Linked DNA regions of Caenorhabditis elegans. The protein of the gene in region 1 interacts with the protein of each later gene in a pairwise test. Each region holds a gene or a part of one and is shown on either strand. Other genes may lie near its edges.

Evidence for each region.
Region 2: the proteins of gsp-2 (region 1) and knl-1 interact in a two-hybrid assay, tested with the Caenorhabditis elegans proteins (2 studies listed by BioGRID).
Region 3: the proteins of gsp-2 (region 1) and mel-28 interact in a two-hybrid assay, tested with the Caenorhabditis elegans proteins (one study listed by BioGRID).

Annotation. Positions count from the first base shown.
Region 1 is NC_003281.10:7,334,692-7,339,349, reverse strand, and holds gsp-2 (Serine/threonine-protein phosphatase PP1-beta), read right to left. Parts: upstream 2,764-4,658; 5' UTR 2,728-2,763; coding exon 2,676-2,727; intron 2,620-2,675; coding exon 2,488-2,619; intron 2,362-2,487; coding exon 2,131-2,361; intron 2,073-2,130; coding exon 1,858-2,072; intron 1,809-1,857; coding exon 1,695-1,808; intron 1,648-1,694; coding exon 1,513-1,647; intron 1,459-1,512; exon of another isoform or gene 1,348-1,458; intron 1,284-1,347; coding exon 1,161-1,283; 3' UTR 585-1,160; downstream 1-584. Other genes in the region: kap-1 (Kinesin-associated protein), read right to left, coding at 143-215, 280-349; F56C9.10 (BCAS3 WD40 domain-containing protein), read left to right, coding at 4,233-4,352. UniProt on the Caenorhabditis elegans protein: Serine/threonine-protein phosphatase essential for chromosomal dynamics during meiosis and mitosis. During meiosis, promotes chromosomal cohesion and germline immortality via a small RNA-mediated genome silencing pathway.
Region 2 is NC_003281.10:8,248,587-8,254,480, forward strand, and holds knl-1 (Outer kinetochore KNL1 complex subunit knl-1), read left to right. Parts: upstream 1-2,045; 5' UTR 2,046-2,049; coding exon 2,050-2,195; intron 2,196-2,242; coding exon 2,243-2,332; intron 2,333-2,384; coding exon 2,385-2,790; intron 2,791-2,835; coding exon 2,836-3,561; intron 3,562-3,605; coding exon 3,606-4,149; intron 4,150-4,193; coding exon 4,194-4,534; intron 4,535-4,577; coding exon 4,578-5,357; downstream 5,358-5,894. Other genes in the region: TM2 domain-containing protein C02F5.13, read left to right, coding at 1-67; C02F5.10 (uncharacterized protein), read right to left, coding at 147-176, 226-408, 456-550, 757-886; C02F5.2 (DUF5356 domain-containing protein), read left to right, coding at 1,051-1,105, 1,156-1,262, 1,306-1,396, 1,443-1,576. UniProt on the Caenorhabditis elegans protein: Acts as a component of the outer kinetochore KNL1 complex that serves as a docking point for spindle assembly checkpoint components and mediates microtubule-kinetochore interactions.
Region 3 is NC_003281.10:4,784,450-4,792,122, forward strand, and holds the start of mel-28 (Protein mel-28), read left to right. Parts: upstream 1-1,630; 5' UTR 1,631-1,631; coding exon 1,632-1,722; intron 1,723-1,766; coding exon 1,767-1,904; intron 1,905-1,962; coding exon 1,963-2,211; intron 2,212-2,257; coding exon 2,258-2,365; intron 2,366-2,409; coding exon 2,410-3,326; intron 3,327-3,374; coding exon 3,375-3,494; intron 3,495-3,537; coding exon 3,538-4,022; intron 4,023-4,075; coding exon 4,076-4,590; intron 4,591-4,640; coding exon 4,641-4,984; intron 4,985-5,034; coding exon 5,035-6,123; intron 6,124-6,178; coding exon 6,179-6,271; intron 6,272-6,321; coding exon 6,322-6,414; intron 6,415-6,459; coding exon 6,460-6,552; intron 6,553-6,598; coding exon 6,599-6,901; intron 6,902-6,948; coding exon 6,949-7,260; intron 7,261-7,336; coding exon 7,337-7,564; intron 7,565-7,609; coding exon 7,610-7,673. Other genes in the region: enu-3.2 (ENhancer of Uncoordination), read right to left, coding at 13-150, 265-612, 671-730. UniProt on the Caenorhabditis elegans protein: Nuclear envelope protein which has essential roles in assembly of nuclear pore complexes and in chromatin maintenance during the cell cycle. Appears to be a stable structural component of the nuclear envelope during interphase.

The DNA.
Region 1 (4,658 bases):
TAAACATTTTTCGCGGTGAGACCCATCCGAAAGAATACGTGCACCTTCGTGGGCATACGGTCTTAAAAATATTTTATTTTATTTTTCTTGTTAAGCAGATTTGCATTCCAGTTTAATTTTATATTTTATATCAGATTCTTACATTTTTTGATGGCCAAGAGACTCAACGTTCGCTGAAGAAGCTCGCTTTTTTATTGAAATTCCTGCTGAAGAACCTGAATCAAACTTCCAAATAATCTTCGTAACACATTCAATTGAAAATAAAAATATAAAACTTACTAGGAGATTGTTCAAATCGTACAATAATTGCCTGATCTGACGGGTGTGCATCTATTGAAACTTGATTCATTGAGCTAAACACGGAAAATCAATCGAAAAAACTCAAAAAATATTTCTCTTCATTCTGATTACCTATTATAGCTTACTGAAGAGCCGGGGCGGAGCATTTCTGAATAACTGACAAACGACAGAAATCGATGAGACGGCTCGAGGAGCACTAGTCGTGGGGGATGTCTGTTCGTCTCGCACGCTCTCCTTGGAGACGTTGCACTCGTTGTAATAAGAAATATTGCTTACACGCTTGTACCAGTGTTCTATTTTATTTGTTCGGAAAACTTTAATGAATTAAATCGACAAATGGGGGTTTTAACAATATAAAATTGAGAAACGAAGAGTACGGGATGGACGAATGAATGGAGGAAGGAAAGGAGTGGAGATTGATTGACATCATAAACATTTGTTTTAAATATTTAGACCATTTAGAGAAGTAAAATTTGATACTGTTTTAAGAGATAAGTTTAGCAAAAAAAATTAAAATTTGGAATTTAAAAACGAATAAAATGGGGATTGTTTTGATGAAAAATTGAGCCAGCAATTGGTGAGGAGTCATTAGCTCTAAATGGTCCACAGAGATAAAGAGGAAGGGATGTTGACAACGAAAGCTTGAATTGAGAGGAGATTCGCCGGGACCACAGCATCTTCTCGTGCCAGCCTAGATCATAATGAATCGAATTTAAACTTTTTCGAAACTATGTTTAAAATCAAAATTAATGTACACAACTTTTTGAAGCCGATTTACGAGAGATGGCCGAGGCCTCTTGGGGCGTGAACAACAAAGAAAAGGTTAGGTATTTACAGATGATAGATAAATCGACTGATGATTACTTCTTGGCACCCTTCTTTGGTTGCGCAGCCGGTGCGTTTCGTGGTGGGGTGACTGGTCTATTTGAACCAACTCCTCCAGCACCATATGGATATTTCTTCTTGTCTGCTGGTTTCAAGATCTGAAAAAAATATTCCGAATTGTTTTATTTTAATGTTTGATAGGTAGTTTTAGCGTTTAATAAATCACCTCAGACAAATGCCTCAATTTCACCCCGCTTAGCGGCAATTTCTTCGAAGAACTCGAATAGATAGCCAAAATAGACTCGTCTGATTTAACCATTGCATCATTGGTGAATGCATACGCATTATCAGTATTTAAAATTATATAGATGGTACCGCTATGTTTACCTGGAAAGAGCACATCAGTGTTTCATCGACAGTCATCATCGATCCCGCGTTATCAAACTCTCCACAATAATTAGGAGCGCTGAACAATGTAACCAACTGCCGCTTAGCGAAGAATTCGTAACCGTCTTCCACAACCTGAAAATTTCTCGGTTCGCAACTTTGCAGAAAATCTTAAGTAATACCTGGTGAGCTCTGCAAATCAAATCCAAATCGTGCTTGTGCAGGAATTTGGCAACAACTTCTGGTCCGAAAGTGAAAGAGACGCCTCGGTCGTTTTCTCCCCAGCCAGTGACATCCTGAAAATAAATGGTAATCATTCATTGAATTTTATGTTCACAAACGAACTTTATCAGGATCTGACCACAACAGATCGCACAACAATCCTTGATCTGGTACGTCTGTCGGCCTCATGATACGACGAATTTGCTCCATAGACTGAAGATCTGGAGAAAGTCCTCCGTGACAGCAGAAGATCTTTTCGTCGATGATGGCGGCAACTGGCAGGCAGTTAAAGCAATCGGTGAACGTCTTCCACAGTTTGATGTTGTATCGCCGCTTGCCTAAAAACATGAGATTTGAATAAATCTGTACTAAGATAATCTCAGATCAAACTCTTACACTCGTCATAGAAGCCATAAATTCTGTTGATCGAGGCACACTCGTGGTTTCCTCGGAGCAGGAAGAAATTTTCCGGGTACTTGATTTTATATGCAAGTAGGAGACAGATAGTTTCCAACGATTGTTTCCCTCGGTCCACATAATCGCCGAGGAACAAGTAGTTCGACTCTGGGGGGAATCCACCATACTCGAACAGTCTCAAAAGATCGTAGTATTGTCCGTGCACGTCACCTGAAAAATATATTTTCTCAGAATATATATTATCAAAAATAAAAACGGCAATTTCCTGTGGAAGGAAATACTAATAAGTAAAATGACTCATAGCAGGAAACGTCAACTTTTTTCGATAGAACTTACCGCAAATTTTCAACGGAGCTTCCAACTCGAGAAGAATAGGTTGGCTCAGAAAAATTTCACGAGACTTCTGGCACAACCCCTTGATCTCGCTCTCTGTGAGTTGAACATTTTTCCCTGGTTTGGATCCTCTGACTGAAGCGGAAATCATTTTAAGATTAATTTCAATAAACACTATGACAAACACATACCTTCCAATAATCTGGAGATGATATTGTCCAGATTAAGCTTTTCTACGTCCATTTGTTGCGAGAAATCGCTCAAACAACCCAATTAGATCTGCAATACGAATAGAATTACCTCTTTGAGATAATGTCAATCAACAAACGTGAAAATACGGAAAATTTAGAAAGAAAGTTTGATAATTACGTCTTTAAATCGCGTGATTACTCGAAAAGTTGATAAAAACAGCAGCAAACATGTCAAAAATCGAAAGATATTTGGAGGCGACAGGGTCAAAACGAATGAAAAGAGTGGCGGGTCTCGCCGCGAAAATGCCGCATTCAGCAGGGTACGGTGGCCGGTGGAGCGCTTTTACATGTTCTCATTTTTTCTGAATTTATCCGCTAATTTAATGATTTTGAATCTGTTTTTCTACATTTTTTCTTCTTGTTAAAATTAAAAAAAAGGGGACGTTCAAATTTTCAGAACTTCATTAGTATTGAATTGAAAAAGAGCGCGCGAAAAGGATTAACTTGGTTAGAGGGCTTTGAAAGTTGAATTTTACATTGAGGAAAATATTTCTACCATTATTTAGAAGATAAAGCTTAAAGTTTCTCTTTTCCCTGAAATTTTCACTATTTGTCAAAAACGGGGCACATATAATCGAATGATGCGCCAATTCGTCACTTTGTTTTCGACCAAGATGGCAGAGAAATTGGTTGGTGGTGAGAGATTGAAATGTGTAAATATAACAAATACACTGTTCTTCGTTCACGATTTGTCAGCAATTATGATCAGATGCAAAAACATGGGGAACAAGATGCATTAAATCTTATTAAGTGAAAGTTTAATAGATGAAAACGTAGTTATAAGAAGTTTATTTAGCATATTTTGATAAAACTTTTACTTATGAATCATTTTGAAATATGAGATTATTATAGTACTCAAAAGTTATATATTATTTAGCTAGAAATATATGAACACTTTGGTACTTCTGCATCCATGAATTCGTTCAGAAAATATATTGAAGCATTAGTTAGAAAATGAGCAGTGAGCATTTAAAAAAATCGATTGATGTCTAGTCAAGTTCAATAAGAAATAAGAAAAAAGAAAAATAGTTGGAGTGAGAAAAATCAGCAAAAAAGATGCGAGAAGTGTGGTGCTCATGGAAGCCTTCTTCTCCATCCTCCTCACAACTCCCTCCATTTCTCTGCGTCGCCTGTTCCCTCTAGTCCCTCGTGACCAACTGCAGTTTCTGTCGTTTTCTCCCCATGTCATGTCTAGCACACGTGAGAAGTGAAAAGAGAGAAAGAGAAGGGCATGATTTCGATTCTTCTGCCGCTTTTCTGTCACTGGTAACAATGCACCTTTGTCGGATCAGACACTCATAGATCGTTGATCTACCTGAAAGTTTGAGAAAAACAAAATCTCTGTTGTTTTATCTTCTCACATCTTCCTATTGATTATTTTTTCTCTTTTTTTTGTTGTCCTCTCTTCTCATTCGTTCTATCCTATCTGTTCCTGTTTGTGTTCTGTTCTTCACCACATTTTCTGAACAAATCGATAATCTGCACAGTTCGAAGAAGATGCCGCCAAACGCGAACTCTGTTGGGGGCCCGAAAAAGAAGAACAAGAAGAATCATCAACGCCCTCAACAGCAACATCAACAAACACAGCCACAACCGCTACCAGAAGAGGAACAGCCGGTAAAGTGTTACTTCATAATGATTTTTCAAAACTAAAAGTTAAAAAAATCGAATTTCAAAAAATCTCCTTTAAAAAACCGTTTAACGGATTTTTCCGTTTTCTAAAGCGCTGCAAACATCGAAACTATGCAATTATTTTCAAAGATAGATAAAATCTTAATAGATTCGGAACGCTAACGAATGTTTTTCTTATAGTACTACCCAGACGCGAAAATTCGTGCCAAAAAACGGTACTGGGTCTGGACACGACAAGTTTTTGTTGAATGTGAGCCTTTAAATAGTACTGTAATTCCAAACTTTCGATGT
Region 2 (5,894 bases), 910 kb from region 1:
TATATTCTTACTGGTACTTGGAGTACTCGGACCCGCGGATGACTCGAGTTGGGAGCCGTACTATTAAAAGAAATTAACTAATACGAGTGGAAAATTAATTGTTTATTGGTCAATATTTACAACCGATCTCATATTGTCAAATCCAATCATTGCGGCAATTGTGTGCTAACTGTCACCTGTAAAATTTGTAATTTCCTTTGTCATTTACTTTATAAAGAAAAATACCTTAATCTTCGAAAGATCACGTCCGTCAATTATCTCACTGAAAATACGACTCATCATTTGAGCCAGCTTATCTGGCCGTTCGTCAATGATTGGAATGACAGGAGGCATTGCTGCTCTGAACTTTTTGATTTTTTCAATGGTTTCTTTGGAACGATAAGGACCACTGAACACGGATACCTTGTTCTGAAATTGGATGATTAGAAGGATTTACTACAAATTTGAATATTTACTGGAGCATTTTTGACGTTCAGAAGTTCAGCTGAGAACGGTTCATCACTGGCATCCCACTCTCCTTCAGTGCATTCTGGCAGCTGTTCGCCCTTATCTGGAAATTAAACTTTGTATTGTCCAGATGCGAAAACTGTAAAATAGCTTGGAGTTGGGTTACTGTAGTCCTTAAAGCCATACGCCTGTTTTCTAACTAAAAACGCTGCCTAAAAATATTTCGGTCGTGTCGAGACCGGGCACCGTACTTCTCAGCGTAAACTAACAAAATTTCGCATCTGTGTAATATTGAAATTTCATCCTTACCATCATCAGTAATTTGAATCTTCGGCAACTGTCGAATAGATTGCTGAACACTTGGTGCTGGTAGTTCCTCTTCTTTTTCGTCTTTTTTATCTTCTTTCTTTTCTTCTTTGCTTGGTTGCTGCTCTGCCATTTTTTGCCTCTTGATTTTGATTTTATCGTTTTGAAGAATAAAATTATTTCCTTTTCAAAAGATGTTTTTTCTTAATTAAAAGATTTCGAAAAAAAAATGCAATACACGTAATTTTGAGTTTTCACTTATGGAAATGTATTTTACAAATCATTTTCAAATACAAGATGGACAACAAAAAGAAGGAAGAAAATCCTAGTAAATCTGATACTTCTATAAGCCGTGAGTAATATATATAACTTTTCGGTTTTTTTTTTAATAAAAAGTTTTAGTTCCACCAAGCTCAACTGGAGAAGCGCTTCAAAATTATACAGAATCGGAATGGAACGCATCAGATGATCCGTATTCTGCAGAACTTCTCAATGTGAAAAAGAAGCCGGTAATTTTTATTTTTACGTAGATTTTCATTAAAACTTTTCCAGAATCGAGTTAATGTGTTCTCAGCAACTGAGAAGAACATGGAAACTATAATTGTCACTGAAGAATCTCCACCACAAACTCCATTGCCTTTAAGTTGAGAAATCACAAAATTCTGGGAACTTAATTTGTATTGGTTTAGAGCCTGTCGTAGAACACCACAATTTGGCTCGATTGATTCAGAAATCATGTCAATTGCTCTTGGATAAAACTACACCAGATGGAACAGAAGTGCAAATAAAATTAGAATTCCCTGACTGGAGAGATACCGCCTGATTCTCTATGTGTTGAATAAAGCTTAACGGTTAAAAAAAAATTAATTGAAATCTGCCTGAAAAAATATCTAAATACAGTACTCACAAGAGAAACTACGGATTTTGAGAATTCGAATTTCGTAGAAAATATTTTTGCAATGTGTATCAGCTGTAATGGTACATATATTTATTTATTAATATTGAATTTTATCTAATTTTTGAAACAATTGGTTTTTTAAACTATTAAAATTGTATTATACTGCCCCAAGTTAAGGAATTACTCGTAGTGTGCGTTCTACGGAACCGGTGGTGTGTCGAGTGCAGCTTCGCTCCATTGTACAAGTTCAATTTCAAACAGAGATTTGCCGCCAAGCAAAACTGCCTTCGTTTACTTTTCACTTTTTTACTTTTCCCATTTAACGAAGTTTATGCTGCCGTTGTTTTGTTATTTTTTTAATCATAATTTATTACCATTTTTAAAACATATTTACAGCCATGTCGATGGAGCCTCGTAAGAAGCGGAACTCGATTCTCAAGGTGCGGCAAGCCGTCGAAACCATCGAGGAAACCGTCATGAACAGTGGGCCTAGTTCCACAACAACTAATCGACGAGTCAGCTTTCATAACGTGAAGCATGTCAAGTCAGTTAGAGTCAGTGAATAATTTATCAATAAAATAATTATTTCAGGCAGTATGACAGGGACCATGGTAAAATTCTTGACGCCACACCAGTTAAGGAGAAGATTACTGACACTATTGGATCAGATGGTATTTTGACGTGAGTTCCATCCTTTAACGTGAAATAATGAATACGTAAAAATCTTTTTAAGACCACGTGGCGGAAACATGGATATTTCCGAATCTCCGGCCTGCACGTCCTCATTTCAAGTGTTCGGCGGTGGTAATCTCGATAAAACTATGGATATGTCTCTCGAAACAACTATCAACGAGAACAACGAAACGGCGAGATTGTTTGAAACCACAAGAGATCCAACACTATTATACGAAAAGATCGTCGAAACCACAACAAAAGTTACCGAGCGAATTGTTAGTATGCCACTGGATGATACCTTAGCAATGTTCAATACAACGAATCAAGAAGATAAGGATATGTCAGTTGATCGTTCAGTTCTTTTCACGATTCCCAAAGTTCCGAAGCATAACGCTACAATGAATAGAACTATACCGATGGACCTCGATGAATCAAAAGCAGCGGGCGGCCAGTGCGATGAAACGGTATGTTGAATTAATAGAAGGAACCAAATTATCTTAATTTTACAGATGAATGTGTTCAATTTCACAAACTTGGAAGCCGCTGAAATGGATACGAGTAAATTAGATGAAAATAATACCATGAATGCTATCCGGATTCCGATTAATTCAAACGTCATGCCTGTAGACATGGACATCACTGAACATCACACTTTAATTGAAGAAAAGAAAAATGATACATTCGGGCCAAGTCAACTGATGGACATTTCGGCGCCACAAGTTCAAGTTAATGATACTTTGGCCATTTTCAACAGTCCGAGAGACATCTGTAATAAGGGTTTGGGTGTTCCTCAGAATCTAATAAATATCGCCTCGAACGTCGTACCTGTGGACATGGACATCACTGATCAGGCCGTATTAAACGCGGAGAAGAAAAATGATCAATTCGAGACAAGTCAGCTTATGGACATTTCTATTCCGAAAGTTCTAGTAAATGACACTATGGCGATGTTCAACAGCCCGAAACACGTCAGTAAGAGCAGCATGGATCTCGAGAAAACGATTGAAGCCGCTGACAAATCAACGAAATACCCGAGTATCGCAGATGAGGTGGAAGATTTAGACATGGATATGGATATCACTGAACAACAACCATGTGAGGCTGGTAATCAGCAGAACGACGGCTTGCAACTTCAAAAGGAGGATTTAATGGACATTTCGGTGATTCGAGATTCACCTGCAGTAAACGACACCATGGCTGTGTTCCAGAGTCCTGCCAGAGTAAAGATCGGAGCGGTAAGTTTTAAGCACACTTTCCAATAAAAATGTATTTCTTTCAGAACAACTCGATCATTGATTCGCAGAAATCTATCGTGTTCGGTGACGAAATGAGCATTGACGAGACACAAAATGATGGAACCTTGACGTTGCCAAAGTCGAATGTAGAAGTGACTACAACTAATGATGTCTACACGTCTCTCGAGCGGCAAGAGGAAAATGCTTCAGAAAACGTATCCATGATAAACGAATCTTCTGTTCATTCGGAAATCGACAAAAAGTCGTTTATGCTCATCGAAGAAGAAAGGGCTTTTATGCACTCCTCCATGATTGATGTAGCACAAAAGTTGGAAGACGATGGTTCGTCGAAGACGCCAGTCATCCTTGCTTCACAGTCAGCTTCTCTTGCCACTAAAGAACCATCAGCCCTTCACAACTCGAGTGCAACTCTCAACAATTCGATGGAATTGGACAACAATACTCTTCTTAAAACTATGCAAATTACAACGTGTGAAGACATTAGCATGGTCCATGAGTCTATTGCTGTTGAACTGAACAGTAACAAAGAGCAGGAGCAATTCGGAGATGAGACTTTGCAGAAAAATGGTAAATTTCGTTTATTCAATAACTCTATTAAAAGTATGTTTTAGATACCTCGAATACTGGCGCGAATTTCACATTCCAAGGCCATAATGAAACATCGCAAATCATGAACAATGTCGACTCGGAAGCAGTGAACACGTCCAAGATTTCAACATATTCGGCTTTCAATTTGAGCATCAACCAGTCTATCTCTAAACGACGTCGATCTCTTCTGAATTCTGCTCGTGAATCTCCTCGTCGTGTTGCGTTGGAGAATTCTATAATGTCGATGAATGGGCAAACAATGGAAGCTCTGACAGAATATCGACAGAATAAAACTATGCAGACGAGTCAAGATTCGATGCCGAGTATGAGTTTGAACGATTCGGGAAGAGATATTCTCGCGATGGTAAGAATATCTCTTTGAGTATTGAATCGAAAATGTCTTTCAGAATACATCAGTCCGCTCTCCTCATCTGAATTCTTCAAAAACTGCTGCCCCAGGAACACCATCATTGATGTCACAAAATGTACAACTTCCACCTCCATCTCCTCAATTCGAAATGCCAGACTTCGATCCAGCTGTGGTCAACGTTGTATATTTAACATCTGAAGATCCGTCCACTGAACAACATCCAGAAGCTCTCAAATTTCAGCGTATTGTTGAAAACGAGAAAATGAAAGTACAACACGAGATTGATTCTCTGAATTCAACCAATCAACTTTCTGCTGAGAAAATTGATATGTTGAAGACTAAGGAGCTCTTGAAGTTTAGTCATGATGAGCGAGAAGCGATTATGATTGCAAGAAAAGACGCGGAAATCAAGTTTTTGGAGCTTCGTCTGAAATTTGCACTCGAGAAAAAAATTGAAAGTGACCAGGAAATTGCTGAACTAGAACAAGGAAATTCGAAAATGGCTGAGCAGCTAAGAGGTCTCGATAAGATGGCTGTCGTTCAAAAAGAACTAGAAAAGCTGAGAAGTCTTCCTCCATCACGCGAAGAGAGCGGGAAAATCCGAAAGGAGTGGATGGAGATGAAGCAATGGGAATTCGACCAGAAAATGAAAGCACTCCGAAATGTACGCTCAAACATGATTGCACTTCGTTCAGAGAAAAATGCTCTCGAAATGAAAGTCGCGGAAGAACACGAGAAGTTTGCCCAGAGGAACGATTTGAAGAAAAGTCGAATGCTGGTGTTCTCTAAGGCTGTTAAGAAAATTGTGAACTTCTAGTGAGTTTAATATCGAAAAATTAACAGTCAAAAATTATAATTTTAGATGCCGCCTTCACCCTTCCCTTGCATCAGGCCTACAATACTTCTGATGCTCATATAATTCTTTACCTAATGTGCCATATATTTTAGTTTTTTTTTCATCTAAAAATACCCATTGTGCATCAACCGCACTTGCTGTATTTCCTTCAAGATGTTTACCTTTTCCCCTATACATTTATGCCTCAGAGCAATCACAAAGTTATGTTTTTATTCCTAGTTCATTCTCAATCAATCTAAAGGAGACTTATGGTTTGAATAGTCAAATGAATAAATATTCCTTGTAACCAAATTTTTTTGTAGCCGTGTTTTTTTTTGTAAAATGAAGTTATTGTGCGTTTAAAAATCGGAGTTTAAAAAATCGGAGCTTCAGTCTCCTCTCTTAAAAATAATTTTAGCTTACTATTTACTACTGTAGTTCCAAATAGAATATACATAATAAGGCGGGTAGGCAAGAGTTTGACACCTCGGGAGGTACATAGGTACGTAGGTGAGCAGT
Region 3 (7,673 bases), 2.6 Mb from region 1:
AATAAAACGTACCGGATTCGCGGCAATTCCATAAGCCAACCGCTCTCGGCGTTCCTTCTCCTCATCCTCGTGCTGCTGATCGTCTTGTTCTTCTCGCTTCCTAGCCGCCATCTGCTCAGCGATGAGCTCCTCAAAATATTTCTTCTGCTCCTGAAAAGAAGGTTTCGTATGTTGAAAGTTGTCCACGTGTAGTACGCAATTCGCTTTTCATTAAATATAACTTAAATCAATAAAAAGCTAGGCCACTGGCAAAATTTCACTTACCCTCGCCTTCTGATCCTCGAGGTAGAAATACAAAAAAATGTGGAAAATGACGAAGGCGATCAGGATGCCATATCCGATGTACTTCGGCGTGTCCTTGTGAACATTGATCGTGTATGCACATGACGGGCAGTGTGTGCCGTTTCCATTTTTGCAGGTTTGAGGGCTCGCCGAGCTCACAAGAGCAAGCTGCGTCGTATTGGCGGCAGGAGCGGTCACGTTTACATTTTTCGTCGGATTGCCGGCAGGAGCGGTCGCATTAGGACTTTTTGCCGAATTGCCGGCAGGAGCGGTCACGTTTGAAGTGTTCGTAGCGGCGGAAACAGGCACATTTGGTGTGGTGGTTGTTGGCTGAAAAATGGTGAAACATTATGGTCTAGAAAAATCGAAGGATGTCTAGGCAACTCACCAATACATGAACTATTAATCCGAAGATTACCAATGAAAACAAAATACGCAAAATACGCATTTTTGAGTGACGCGTGTGTCGGAGAGAAACCGATTTCACAAACTAATTTAAGTTATAATTTGTTTATTTCAATCGCTACGTGTGCCGTGTGCCACGTGGCCACGCGTGAGTAGGGGCGGGGCCTATTTCGCAACCACCGCACACTTTTTTCGCAAGCCTCGCACGTTTTTCCATGATATTGTTGCATTTTTCAAAAGAAAAAACGTGCGAGGCTTGCGAAAAAAGTGTGCGGTGGCTGCGAATAGGTCCCGCCCCTGCATCCTGTTTTGGGTTCCTTTTTGTTTGTTTTTTTTTCGCGGATGGTTAATTTTGTTTTCGAAGAATTTCTCGTAAAAAGTTCCTTTACAATTAGTCAAATTTTATTCACTCAATAAACAAGGTTTTTCTTCAAAAAATACAAGGTTTCGCGATGCGCCTATCATTTTATCATTTCTTGAGTAAAACAGTCTTTACGCTCGTTGCTCCAAAAAATGTATGTTTCTTAAGGGTTTCCATTAATTTTTTAGAAGTCATTTGAAAATGCTAAAAAGTTGGTTTACGTCATTTTAAGTATGTGCTTCTCTTAAGATAATGATGTAATATGGATTATATTCCAATTTAAATCATTCAAATTGATTTTTTTCATTTAAGAATTCCATTCAATTTCTACATTCTTCGTTGCGTCTTCTAACCTTTGCAAGCATTTTCCATTTTCGCTTGTTTTCGCAGTCCGTATGTTTCCGTTGCGGTGTTTGCGTATTGGTGAAAACAAATTTTCCCGGTCGTTTGAATGTAGTCGGACGAGCCCTTATTTTAAGCTACGCACTTCTAAAACCACTTATTTTAATTGATAATTTCTTTGTCTCACTTCTTTAAATGTTATTTATTAGCTGCGATGTGCAAAGGTTTATTTTTTTTCAGAATGGATAATGAAAATTCGTCCATTTTCAAATCATATCAAGGATACGAGTGTTGGAGGGGAGAAAAGCAAATTATTTTGAAGGATTCAATTGGTATTTCATATTTCTATCGATTCAACATTATTCTATTCATTCAGGTCGTCAACTTCCCTACATTGTGAATTTTAAAAAGAATACGTGTCAAATATTCGATATCGAATGGGAACGCGTAACTCACTCGTTCGTTTTCCCTGAAGGATGTGCTTTGATCGATGCGGACTATTTTCCAACAGAAGGTAAGTTTTTTATTACTATCATATTTTCTTTATTGATTTCAAAATATTTTATTTACAGAAGGAAAGCTCGGAATTCTTGTTGGTGTTGAAGATCCTCGTCAGTCGTGCGGTGCCGAGCACTTTGTTCTTGCATTGGCAGTTGATCCGGATTCACCAGCCATGACAATCACACACTCACTGGAAGTTCCATCGAAAATTACAGTTGTGAAGACGCTTTTTTCGTCTGCCGACATGGCTGATGAAACACAGAGAACAGTTTTAAAGCTCTATCATCGACTGATGACGTGGCAGCATATTGTGGCAATTGGTAATAAATCAAATTTGAATGAAAACTTTGCAAATTTACATTCCAGGTTGCAAGGAGACACAATGCTACTTAGCTCGTTTAGTTGCTGTTGAGACGCCGTCAAGTCCTGTCATCACAGTTCACAGTGAGAAAAAGTATTTGATCAACCTAATGAGTAAGTTTCCCGAAGATTAAACAAATTTGATTAGTGTGTTTCAGATGCTTACGTCAGCGGTTCAGTTCTTCAGTACACTTTGGACGATGGAGCATATCGTGAATACCCAACCGCCGCCGTGTATATCTCAGCGTTATCGTTGATGCCAAGAAGTCGAACTCTTCTTGTCGGTTTATCGATGGGAGGCATTCTGGCAGCTTCATTGAATCCTTCAAATCAGATGATGCTTTTGGAATTGAGACACGAACGACTTGTCAGAAAAATTGCTCCATTAGAACCAGAAGATGATCCCGACAAATTTGAGTATTTCATCGCCACTGTTGATTGTTCACCTCGTCATCCAATCATGATTCAACTTTGGCGTGGATCTTTCAAAACTCTCGAGGATGTTGATGGAGAAGAAAAGTACGACCGTCCATCATTCAGTGTTTGTCTAGAACATAAGATTTTGTTCGGAGAAAGATGGTTGGCTGTGAATCCTATTGTTACTGAAAGAGATCATATGATGCTCACAAGAAAGCGAGGAACGGAAGATTCGATGCACAATGTTTCTCAGACATTCGGATCAACTTCTAATCGAAACTCTGTTCTTTTGGCATACGAACGAAAGAAGATGGTGATCGGCACAGAAGACCCGAATGCTGAACCAGAATACATTGTGGAAGCAGCTATTTTTGATATAGATTCATGGTACTACAAAAGAGTTCCCGGTCGAGTATCTACAGATGGAACTGTTCTCAAGCAATGTGCATTCTTATCAACTATAAAGTCTAACATCCGATCAGAAGATGTAAATGACATCGGAATTCTTACAAATGAGGCCACTGATGTATCCAGCTTCTCTAGCATGGTTTCAGACGCAGATCAACTGTTTTATCCGTCAGCATTAAGCTTCGAAAGGGTTTTTGTTGCCAAGAATACCAGAATTGACTGGATGAAGATCCAGAACATCCAGGACACGGTAAATTTATCGGCATTGAGATTGTTTTTATTCCGGTTTTTTTTTCAGATTTTGAACAAATGCGCCGTCAAACTGCCTGCTCTCATCAGGAATCCCGAAATGATTTCCAGCGTTGTTATGGCAGCTGGTTTAGTGAGAAAAAATATTCTGTCTGGATCTCCCAATTCGGTGAGCTTATTTTTTAAAGTTAAATTGATGAAATTGTTTTCAGAGCGCCGCAGAAATAAACGAACTTCAATTATCGTCTGATCAAAAGGTTCTTCTCAACGTTATCGTCTACTACGGAAAAATTGAAGAGTTTTGTCAATTGGCATCTCGTCCTGACATTAGTGACACGCTAAAACGGGAATTAGCAGAATGGGCACTTCACGAAGCTGTTGACTACAAGAGAACTATTTCTGACAAGATGGTTTCACTCTTCCAGGGAAGATCACTTGCTCTCTCTCCACTAGCAGAAGAATCTATTGCACAGGGAATCAAGCTTTTCCGAGTTGTTTACGAATATCTGAAAGCCTGTTCAAAAGCGTTAAAAGATGATCGACTTCGCAATTTGGCCCATTCTGTGATATGTATGAGAAACCATACGAAACTTACCAGCCAATTCATCAATTTTGCCATCATTCCTGTAGACCCGATCAGACAGCAAAGAATGAAGGATTTACATTCAAAGAGAAAAAATATGGCGAGAAAGAACTCGTGAGTTTAGAAAAATCCTTTTTAAGAAAAAGTTATACGATTAAATTATTCAGATCATCTCTACCCGTTCAATCAGTCGTTCGAAAAATGAATCGTCAAGCTCCAAATGCTCAATTCTGGAACGATATTCCACATGACGAATGGTATCCGCCAACACCTCTCGATTTGCTGGAATGCCTGCTGAATGTTTCGATTTCTGAGAGTATTAAACGAGAACTCGTTGTCCAATATGTCATTGATTGGATTTCCACATCTCCTGAAGATTCTGAACACAGCGAAAAACAATTGGCACTTGAAACTATCAAAATCATGACAAATCAAATGCTTAACGTTAACTTGGAGAAAATTTATTACATTCTGGACCAAGGAAAGAAGGCTTTAACAAGCAGCAAGACATCGGATGATATGAGAGCACTTGGAGAGAAAGTATTCTCAATGAAAGATGACGAGATTAGTTATGAGAAATTGTGGGGAAAAGATGCTCCGATGACAGTGACAATCGGAAAACACGATTTACAGCGATTTGAACAACGAATGAAAATGCAAATGGAAGGTGGAAAAGTTAGATGTGAGATAGATTTTCAGTCTCATTTCCAATTAATTTTTTTTAATTTCCAGTGCCAGTTCTCGATCCGGAATCTGAGATTCTCTACCAAATGTTTCTCTTTGAAAACGAAAAGTTTGAAGCAATGTCATCAGAAGCGATTAGTTCCAACAAATTGCTATCGGCTTTCCTGCCAGGAATGATCAAGAAGGATGGAAGAGGTCGTCAGAAGACTGCGAAAGAACAGGAAATCGAAATTTCAGTTAAGAAAATGTTTGAGAGAAAGGTGCAAAACGACGACGAAGATATGCCTGAAGTTTTCGCTTCTGTCAATGACAAAACAGAAAGAAAGCGGAAATCAAGTCAGTTTGGTGAAGACGATGAGAGTAGTGTTTCGTCATCACAATATGTGCCACCTGTAAGATTATTGCAGTTAAATAGTACAAACCAAGATTCTGAAATTTACAGACCGCGAAGAGAATTCAACAGTGGAAGAGTGCCGTCGAATCTGTTGCCAACAATTCGAGTATCAACAGTATCACAAGTCCGGATTCTCACCAAAATGCAGAAATCAATATGATGATTGCAACACCGGCACGGTATTACAAGCGACATAATGAGGAGGAAAATGTTCAAGATGGATTTCTATCGCCCGCTGGAAACAGACCGCCGCCAGTCTCTGCTCACAACAGTATTCTGAAAACAGCTAAAGGTGGCCAATCGGCTAGTCGAGGCCGTATCCGATTCCGTGCTGACGTTCCAAGAGGTGCTGACGAGAGTATTGAAGACAATGGTCGGAAAGGCCTTGCATTGAACTTTGCAATTCTTGAAGATGAAGAAGAGGAAACCATGACTATTAGAAAATCACGGTCTATGGGAAAACATGACGAGGAGAAGGATTCAGAGAAAAATGTAGTGGATGAGATGGAAGAAGTAAAAGATCAAGAACAAGAAAACGATGAATGCATTGAAAGTGAGAAAACTTTCGAAAACCAAGACGATTTCGAGGTTCTCGAAGATACATCTGCTCCAGAAGCTGCAAATACAGAAAATGGTTCGGAAACTCCTCCCATGGAAGATACGTTTGAAGTACGAGATGATGACGTCATGCCACCAACCGATGAGACATATTTGAGTCATTTACAAACCGATAAAACGGGTATTCTTGAGGAGGAAGGTGAAGATGAAGATATATGGGATGGAGTTCAAAGATCTTTCGAGGTTCAAATGGATGAGGATTGTGAAGCTGTACCAACGATTGATGTAGCCGATGATTTGGAGAGTAAATCTGAAGAAGTGAATGAAGAAGAGGTAGTTGAATCTGAAGAAGTTCAGCAAGATGCGAAAGAACCTGAAAAAACTGAAAAACGACAGGAAGAGCCAGAACCTGAAGTTATGCAGCCAGTGATTCCGGAAGAGCCTCAAAACGAATCTCTCGAATCGTCTATTAAACTGCAGGAAGAGTTACAGGAAGAGCCTGACATAGTTCCGACAGGTGATGAAGATACCGCGGATAAAGTTCAAGAACAAGCTGTTGAGGAAGATAGACCACCATCTGTAAGATACCATAAAATAAAATTTGAGGAAAAACGGCAATAATTGTATATTTCAGAGAAACACTCGCTCATCATCTGTCCAGAAGTCTACTTCACAAGTGGAAGACCGGGATCCGAAAGAACTTGTCGAGGAAGAAAGACCTCCATCTGTCAGTTTCGTCATCAATTTGACAGACAGAAATAAAATTTATGTTTTCAGAGAAACACTCGTTCTGCGTCTGTTCAAAAATCATCTAACCAAGAGAAAACTTCGGAATCAGGAGAAGTCACGGAAGAAGATAGACCACCATCCGTGAGTTGTTTTTAAAATTTGAAATTTATATGTGTATTTTTCTAGAGAAATACGCGGTCGGCATCTGTTCAAAAATCTTCATCAAAGGTAAAAGACCAGAAGCCAGAGGAACTCATCGAGGAAGATAGACCTCCATCAGTAAGTCTCTCGTGATTTCTTTAAAAATTTAGTTCAATATTTCCAGAGAAATACTCGATCCGCATCAGCCCAGAAGACAGTGGCAGCAAATAAATCTGTTTTGGAGTCTGAAATTCCAAGTCGTTCAGCGTCACGAAGAACTCGCTCCACATCGCTTAGGAATGATACTGTTGCCGAACCAGATGAGACGTCGGTTGCGATGACAACTCGGCGTCGGACTCGGGCAACTTCTGAGGTTGTTAGCAAGCAGTCGTCTGAAGATGATGGAAGATCGACACCAAAAACCGGAAGAACTCCCACGAAAAAGGCTGCAGCTAGTACATCTTCTAGTAGAGCTGGAAGTGTAACTGTACGTTGTTTAATCGTTTAATCATACAACTATTCGAACATTTTCAGCGCGGTAAAAAATCGATCATCCAAAAGATGCCATCCCCGCTAGAGGTTACAATGGAAGTTCAAGAAGAAGAAGAAGAAGAAGCGGAGGAGGAACGGCCTGCATCAAGAAGCACTCGCTCTGCATCTGTCAAAAATACAACTGTTGACCCATCGTCATCTGCACTTGCTTCTACCAAACGTACAACTTCTAGAAAGAGGGGCAATTCGGAAACGATCGACTTTAATCAGGACGACAAATCGGCACCGACGACGCCAAAAAGAGGAAGACCCGCCAAAAAGGATGCAGGATCTCCTAAAGTTGGAAGTAAAGCTGTAAGCATTTTTAATTATTTTTTTGAATTAAAAATGTTGTATTCATAAATTGTAAATTGATTTGTTTTCGTTTCAGCGTGGCACCAAGCCTAAATCGATATTCGAAAATCAAGAAGATGAAGAAGATCGTTCATCCTCTCCAGATATCGAACAACCAGCCACACCTACACGGTCTTCCAAACGAACGGCTAGATCCAGAGCAAATTCCGAATCGATCGATGATGATAGCAAGCAGAAGACCCCAAAAAAGAAAAATGCCGCGGTTAATGAAGCTGGTACCAGTAAACAGTCTAGAAGTGTGACGGTATGATCCCAAAACATAATTTTTTTTCAAAATTATTATTTTCAGAGATCTCGAGCATCATCTATTGATGTACAACAAGAGGTGGAAGAGCCAACCACTCCAAAACGCG